2 linked regions of the Schizosaccharomyces pombe genome follow. The protein of the gene in region 1 binds, or shares a complex with, the protein of each later gene. Each region holds a gene or a part of one and is shown on either strand. Other genes may lie near its edges.

Region 1 (4,319 bases):
AAAAATGGTTACTAAAACCGATGTATTACGGTTAGTTGTATTACAAAAATTTATTTAAAATGTATGTTAGTATGTCATCAATTATTCATGCTTCTTGTCCTTGATTATTGTTATATATCTTTTGAGCGCACATCAAATAAATTAAACGGATTGGTAATTACAAAACAGACATGCTGAGTTTGTGTAAAAATCATCGCTAATTCTAGGTGGTATATTTAATCTATCCTATAGAAGAAATTACCTTTACTCGTTAGTAATGTCTCGTACCATTGACACAGTCTAATACATTAGCAATTAAAAAAGACTGTGGCATGGCCTGTAAAAAATACGCATCTAGCTCTTATTTTGGATAAAAATAAATAAATATGTGACTTACTGAAAAAATTGTACCAGGGTCAGATGAAACGTTGAAAATTATTCGCTTATAGCCCTGATCACTAATGGCATGTAATCCAAAACTAGTGGATAGTGAAACAATCTTCTATTTTAACTATAACCAGATAATATTAAATTTAAAAAAAGTATCCGTAATCCATAAATCACTTGTTACTGTTGTGTAGAGCCTGAAATTGCAACAAGACCGGGCTTGGCAGCATGTATGCATACTTGGGTTATTCCGTCTAAGTTTCAGCAGTTCTTCCTTAATATAGTAGTAATCTTTTTGTCTCAAATCCCATATTTCTTCTAGCTCAGCCCCAATGGTAGGTATTCTTCAAAAACATTTGTATGCAGCTAGTTATTCCCTATTTCGCTTGTAAGCATATGAAACAATCCCAGTAGCCTCGGCTAAAAATAACCTTAAACTTTTTTTTATTGCCAAAGCAGCTTTTTGAACGATGAAAGAAATGAAGCTTCGAAAAAAATGCAGTGCACTTACAATTTTAGTTAACTAAAACTAAAAATAAATGGTAGATGTTTCCAATCCATGAACGGTGTTATGAACCTGTATCAATTCCTAATTAATCGTTAGCGTATGGTTTCATAAACGATTAATCACGAATGTTTAGATCAAATTTGAGTAAGCTTTTGAACAATTAGGCTGCAATCTAAACGGTTACATAAAAAATTTGAGGGTCTCTTGAATTACTGAGACAAAAAAAAAAATCGGGCTGTTGTGGGAATCGAACCCACGACCACCATCACCCTAAGATGGTATCATACCACTAGACCAAACGGCCACAATTGTCATTTATAAACGTTTAACATATTTACAGTTCTTTCACATAAAAGTTGTGATCATTCGAATATTAAAGTTATTTTTCTTCTTCTCAAGTCAATGAATCTTCTTATAAAAGACGAAGTAAATTTGATTGAAAATGAGTCATACAGCTTACTTTTAAATTGAATCATGGTCATATTGGGAATAAAGGCTTTTATAATCCACCGTTTAAACCCGTTGAACGCTTTAAGATTACTTTCACAATTTTTTTTGGGAAACTTGTTAACAAATTCATTGTAATACTAGTTAAGTTTCAACGAAGTTTTAGATTTCTGTTAATTCAACTTCAAAAATTTATATAGTGGTATAATGGTATATATCGCAACAAGGAATGCAGAACTTTCATACCGATATTTTACTTGCGCCAGTAGGGCTGCTTACCTCTCTCTGAGCGGTCTGAGTGGAACGCCTTTACCAATATTGAAGTTGAAATATTTCAAACATTCAAAAACGTAGCATCTACACTATTTGATTTTCATATTTTGTTAATACTTAATGAATTAATTATACAGTTTGGTCGTCTTTGCCAATTTCTTAGGATTACAAAATTTAAACCCGCATACTTGATTTCCATTGCAGTTTTTTATACCCATTCCCTAACTATTACCTCAATTTAACAAATGAGTTTTCAACAGCGCTTCGCCAGAGCGTTGGACGTGGGCTACAAGAATTTTTTGTCAAAAGATGCGGTCAGGAATATCTTTGCTTATGACAACCACTTACGAGGCCTAGTACAAAAAGAATGTAAAATTCATCAAACTCCGTATCGTGTGCCTTCAGATTTAATGGTTCAAAGCGCTAGTGACCCAGCCCGCGCTAATTTATTCAATTACTCTAGCCAATTGGTAAATCATGATTTTTTCTTTTCCGGCCTTATTTCTCCAGAACGGCCCTCTGCAGATGCAGATTTAGGAGCTATCAACCTAAAGCCTGGAATTGATGCATCCTTCGGTTCATTTGGTGAGTTGAAGTCTCAAATGGTTGACGTTGGCAATTCAGTTTTTGGTGATGGTTGGCTGTGGTTGGTATATAGTCCAGAAAAATCTTTATTTTCCTTATTATGCACGTACAATGCGTCAAATGCCTTTCTTTGGGGAACAGGATTTCCTAAGTTTCGTACCAATGCAATTGTACCGCTTTTATGCGTTAACCTTTGGCAATATGCGTATCTTGACGACTATGGTTTAAATGGTAAAAAAATGTACATTACAAAATGGTGGGATATGATCAATTGGACGGTCGTCAACAATAGATTCCAAGCTACGCGCATTGAATCCCTTTAGCTAACCCGACTGAATCCTGCACAATTTTCAATCTTTTTCTACTTCTCTCCCCTCCTCTCCCGGCTACGTTTTGTATGCAAGTGATCATGGTGGCTTACTATGGGTTCACTTTATCTGATTGAAAAAACCCATACTATTAACAAATCTTATAAATAAATAAAGTTTTGTAATTACTGTTGGCAAAGAATGAGAATTAGAATGCTAAATGTAATGTTTCCCTCTATATATTATTTAACATTCCAACAATATCTACGGAAAAGTTAATTTAGTTGAACCATCCATTAAATGTATAAACTAGGACACATAGCAATTATCTGATACTTTAGAGGTTTCGGAAGGTCAAACATAGACATTAAACAGTAAATTAAATTTGCGAGCATGTTTTCCACTTAAATTTTAATAATACGACTCCCATACCATATGTTCCATTAATAAGCATTTCGATTATTAGGACCCAATAATGATATTTGCGCAAGAGGGGAATCCTTTTTTCAAGATTAATAAGGAAAGGTTGAATTAAAAGCTGAAAAAAGAAAGCAGGTGAACAGCGTCCAGAAATTGACCAATAGGCAAAGTCATGGAATAATGCTGAAAGGAAAAAACATGAACAACTTGCCAGAAACTTACTTCCAGTGAGGGCAATAGTTGGATCCCAAGCAATCACTCTGAAATAGGGCTTGGTACAAACATGCCAATCTCTGGACCAAAAATCATTAACCGAGGTGGTTTTAGATACATTTCCCATCATTAATGGATACTCTGCAATATCCCAAATTCCCAGAGGAACAAAAATAATGGCGAATAAATAGTACAAGGCATTAATAAACAAATATGAAAAGAATCCAGAGGTTACGCAAAATGCGACTTGAATATACCATGGGTTGGCTGATATAGGAAGCAACATCCAATTGGATAAACGAGTTTTAAAACAATTGACAAAACAAAATGCACCCACATAGACAGCAGTACGTATCCCCAAAGATTTGTAAGTCAGCACTTTTCTACAGTAAGGGGGAACCACGTCGTCAGTCCAACCATACTTGCGCAAAGAAAGTGCATAATCAACAAAGTTCCACCTAGCGTTACGAATGAATGGTCGACGACGCTTAACAGCGCTGATTTGTACAGGATCGTTGCGAGAAGGTACCATATCTCGCCAACTCAAAAAGCAAGTTCGAAGCGACATCATAATGAGAAAGCCATATGCCAAACCAAATGTAGAGACATCCTTATAACCAACATGGTGATAGACAGCACACATGCGATACGCCAGTATAACCGTGATGGAACATAACAAAGTGCAGGCGATTTTCCACCGGCGAAAAAAACAAAAGGTTTCGACAAGGTATGTAGCTAAAGGGAATAGATTGAACAGAAGGATGTTATAAATACCTGTGACTGGAAGTTTGGAAGAAGGATCGAAAGAAAATGGATACATGAAAGTAATTGAATTTTAGATCGTGTTCGTAGATGATCAAACGCCGAAAACTTTATAGTGGAGGAATAGGAAAGGAAGAAAAGCAAAAAAGTAAGAAAGAAAATTCGCAGTTAAAACAAAAGTGAAGAAAAAGAACAGATAGGGTAAGACAATACAAGCAACACTAGACGAGACAAGACAAGACAAGGCGAAACAATAAGAAAAGGCAAACCACACTCTATATAACTATGAGACTTTATTTACAATCAATCAGTCAACCGACAAAAATATGAAAAAAAGACAATAATGATAAAAGAAAATGACAAAATGCTTATTGAAAGAAACAAAGAACAACGATGATGATGATGATGATGATGAAGGCAAAGAAAAAAAAGTGTTA
Region 2 (4,268 bases), on another chromosome or scaffold:
TACCACAAAGTCGACCAGCATAACGAAACACAGAAGACAGAGCAGAATATTTGCTGTGATATTTTGCCATTCTCAATTTTGTAGATACACCATTGCTTTGGACTGCAACCTTTTCCAAATGTTAGCACTGTGTAAAAGAGATAGGAAAAATTGTATATTTAAGTTGTTTTTACCTTTCCGTTGTCCGTATTTACTTGAATTGACTGTAGTTGAGCAGAAAAAACATTATCCCACCATTGATCAGCAATATCATGTTTAGCACCAAGCTACCGTGTGTTAAAAATAAATTCATACATAACTTTACTGAAAAAACCCATCTTTTTCTAAGATTTTTTATTCTGACATACCCCATGAGTATTATATTTTCTAGAAGTTAAAATTGGTTTGGTGAGCCCTCCTTCTTTTAAAGCGTTTCCTTCCTCCCAACCAAAGGAATTCAAATATCTTTTGGAACTAAACATCAATGGCTGATGAAGTTTTGCATAAAACTTTTCATGGGTACTTCGTGGTAAAGGGAGTAGTGCCATGGGATGCCATGAATACCTAATATGAAAAAAAATAAAAAAAGTCCTTGAATCGTCTCGGAAAAGGAAAAAAATATGAAATATAAATTTCCTATTTGTATGTATGAATAAATAATTTCTAAACGTTAAATTGGAAAAGGTCGTTTCGTAAGGTCAGAAAGGTGAGGCTCTAATGATGAAATTGGATAGATGAAGCCTAAGAATATCATTTTCTAATTAACAGATTACTTTATTGAACCTGTTTTAATGGAATATTTTCATGCTGTGGGTGATTGGCATACCAATCAACCAAAAGCAGTGCCTTGAGAAAGTCCATGATTTTTAAAGAGAGTCCAAGAGCAAGAATGAGGTTACTTGCGTAATAAAAATTTGCATTTCCACATCCAAGAGTTATCCAAGAATGGTAAAATGCAGATCCCAGTACAAGCGCAAACACAATAGCATTATTTGTAAGCAAGCTATATCGCATTCGGTCTTGGACTTTATTAAAAATTGGGAGGAGAGATAAAAATATTGAAAGATCACAAATACTTGGGTAAGCTTTGAATAAAGAATGCAGGCCAATAAGAGCAATAGTAATAGGCAAGGGCAGATAATAAAGACGGATCGAAACAGGGAGAACAAACATCAATGGTAAAATGGCAAATACAAAAAGGAAGAATGTGCGAAATTCATTGAACATTTCTGTAAAAAAATACCACCAGAGACCCAAATTCGGAGTTAGATCATGAGAGTCCAAGTATACCCTAAATGGAATTTTCAAAAAAGATAACGAGTTCAGAAAGAAGCCTGAAGTTATTATCAGACCTGCAAGATAAAAAAGAAAAACAACGAATATCTGACGAAATTTAATGGATGAATTGCATTTTCTTAAAATAAGATAGGAGGGGAAAAATAACAGTAAAGCGTTAGGATTAATGAATACAGTCAATGCCATACAGCATGCATAAATTGCATAGGATCCGCAAGAGGCGAAATAAATGGTCATTAGAGTGGTGAAATTAAGTATCATGTCTGCGGAGCAAGCAATTCCTGGAAGAAATGTTAATGGGTTAAGCAGATAACTAAAGTAATATTTTGTTAGTAAATTTTGAGTTAAGGATACTTGTTTGCGACACAAATATATCACAGAAGTACACATTTTCAATATCGACTACGAAATCTGTGTAATCAACGCAGTTCAATCTTTGAACAGTCATCGTTAACAATTTTGTAAACCAACGATACAATGCTTTTCATTTTTTTGAAGAATGTCTCACTTTTTTTGTCGCAAGCCATATGCGTAACTTACATGACGGAAATCCATAATGGTGAACAAGTAGATAGTACTTGATTTGGGTCTAAAACACGAGCTTGTTTTGCAATTAAATACACAAAGAGACCTCCCATAGTAGAAATGCTAGTATAAACAAATCTGGTGACAGATATTCCTCCAAGCAACTCACAACAATAATTTAAGATCAGTAGAAGTGGAGACTGATAGAAAACACCACCAGAATAGGGGTCTAGTCCGTTTTCATACAAGTAAAGTCCTTCACGAACACGTAAAAATCCGGATACAGGCGTCGATACTTCGATTCGCCTGTAAAGGAATTCAGCAATCCAAGTGTTTGCTAAATACCATTGAAGAAAAAAAGAAATTGATAATAAACCTAATAGTTTTAGCTTCTCATTTGGTATCATTGCAAAATCTTCACTGTTCAAAAGATGGGTTATATTTGTGTTTTCAATTCACCAATCTTCGTTTAAATTACAGTCGTTGGGTATCCCAAATGATCCGTTTGAAAAACTTTTAAGGCAGCCACCAAAGTAAGATTTTTAATTTTTTATTTCTTTATTTTTTCTTTAAAACGAGAAGAGTGTTTTAGGTTAATATTTACACGTTCATACCACTACCACAGGTTGAGTAACATAAGTTACCTGGTATAGAAATTATGGTATTGAAGCACTCGGTTACTTACAATTTGTCATTTTTCATTTCCTTTACATTTTCATCCATATTTTTTAGTTCTTTGATTTTATTTTTGGTTTACAAATCGGTTCTTAGCAAGCTATTTTTCATCAAATATCTAATGCTTAATTTAACAAAAGTTGGACTACGAAGATTTTGGAGCCAGAGTCCTAGGCGGAATGCGCCCAAAAAGGAACTCTCTTCTCTTTTAGAATCCACAATCACTCCAAAAGCTTTTTCAAAAAGGACGGAGGAGCCAAATCCGATTATGCAAGGTACGGATACCATTCCAATGCCATTTTACCTTCATGCCAAATGTTTGAAGAACAACACTCACATTACACTTTGTTCTCCTGAAAGAAAAATTATTTTTAGGGCCTCTGGAGGAACCTGTGGTTTTCGTAAAGGAAAGCGCCGTGGCTACGATGCTGCTTATACCATTTGCTCCAAGGTGCTGGAACAAATCCAAGTAAAGCGCCTTGGTATTGAAAATTTGCATGTTATATTTCATGGTTTTAGTCAGGCCAGGGAAGCAGTACAAAATTGTTTATTAGGGCAAGAAGGTGCCGTAATTCGAGACAAAATTGTAAAGGTTATGGATCGAACACCTATTAAATTTGGAGGACCGAGAGGTAGAAGGGAGCGACGCATATGAAGTATGTTTATATTACTTTTCTGTTTTCTTCGTTTACGTAATCTTCCTGTGCAGTTAATCTGCTGCCCAACATTGTTGGTGCTTTTCCACCGTTGTATTTGACCTTCTGAACTTAGAAATGATTTATTAATACCGGTGTGATAGTGCAACATGATTTCTTAAAAAAAACTATATCCCATCTCTAATTCAACACAAATAGTTTTTACCTATCTTTCTCTGTAATTTATGAAATGCAAAAGACATTATTATTCCCATATTATTTACATTATAAATAATGACCGTCACTGATCAATAAGTAGACACTTCTATATCTAATTTTATCTGCCATACTTATTACATTACAACTGCTGACACCATATCAATTTCAGACAGTAAATATTCATAAAAATCGTCATCGACCCAATTTTCAGAGCCTACTGCTGATAATCGACTGGATGTGCGTTCTTTCACTTCTGAAGTGTAATTTAAATCTCCTTTTACGAACCAAGGCTCATACCATCTTCCCAAAACATCTGCGAATGGGCAGACGTACTCGACAGATTTATCATGCAGGCAACGAAAATATGTGTTTGATAGTTTTGATACCATTTGTAATCTTCTTGGTAATTCTTTTAAGTCATCCTTATGTTCATCAATATTGTCAGCGCTGTCATTATAATCGAGTGCATTTTTGTCAATTTGTGTCCATAGTGAGCCTTGGAAACAGACAATGTCATCTTCGTTTACATAAATATCAGATATGTACATAAAACTTGTTTTTTGAAGTACAGATGGCAGTGAAGATGTGGATATAACACATAAATCATTAATCCATAGTTTTTCGGCTCCACGGAAAATTCCGTAAAAATGATCATCTAAACTATTTGATTCACCCCCAAAGGTTGGTAAAACTGTGAGAGGGATGGAATAATTTTCGTCGTGGAACTTTGGTTCTTCCATATCTATACCTTCTAGTGGCTGGAAGATACCAAATAGGTTCCACGTTTGACATATAGAATGAGCAACTAGATGTTCTTGTTTTTGTAAATCGAGTGGATGCCGGGACCAAGGCTCAATATCTGCAGCTGCCATGTCAAAGTAATAACGAGAGTTGCCTAATTGTTTGCAATGGTATTGATATGGTTCCACAAAAGTATCA

Evidence for each region. Proteins that work in one complex are often made in the same cells at the same time.
Region 2: SPOM_SPBC3H7.04 (region 1) and mrps18 share a complex: the UniProt entries of both Schizosaccharomyces pombe proteins name them as parts of the mitochondrial small ribosomal subunit.

Annotation. Positions count from the first base shown.
Region 1 is NC_003423.3:1,874,080-1,878,398, reverse strand, and holds SPOM_SPBC3H7.04 (mitochondrial 37S ribosomal protein mS42), read left to right. Parts: upstream 1-1,617; 5' UTR 1,618-1,839; coding exon 1,840-2,502; 3' UTR 2,503-2,745; downstream 2,746-4,319. Other genes in the region: SPOM_SPBC3H7.05C (uncharacterized protein), read right to left, coding at 2,867-3,940. UniProt on the Schizosaccharomyces pombe protein: Component of the mitochondrial ribosome (mitoribosome), a dedicated translation machinery responsible for the synthesis of mitochondrial genome-encoded proteins, including at least some of the essential transmembrane subunits of the mitochondrial respiratory chain.
Region 2 is NC_003424.3:4,966,085-4,970,352, reverse strand, and holds mrps18 (putative mitochondrial ribosomal protein subunit S18), read left to right. Parts: upstream 1-2,490; 5' UTR 2,491-2,596; coding exon 2,597-3,130; 3' UTR 3,131-3,363; downstream 3,364-4,268. Other genes in the region: tma23 (ribosome biogenesis protein), read right to left, coding at 1-109, 174-266, 348-461; gab1 (Pig-U family GPI transamidase subunit), read right to left, coding at 754-1,588, 1,816-2,207; SHREC complex subunit Clr2, read right to left, coding at 3,464-4,268. UniProt on the Schizosaccharomyces pombe protein: Component of the mitochondrial ribosome (mitoribosome), a dedicated translation machinery responsible for the synthesis of mitochondrial genome-encoded proteins, including at least some of the essential transmembrane subunits of the mitochondrial respiratory chain.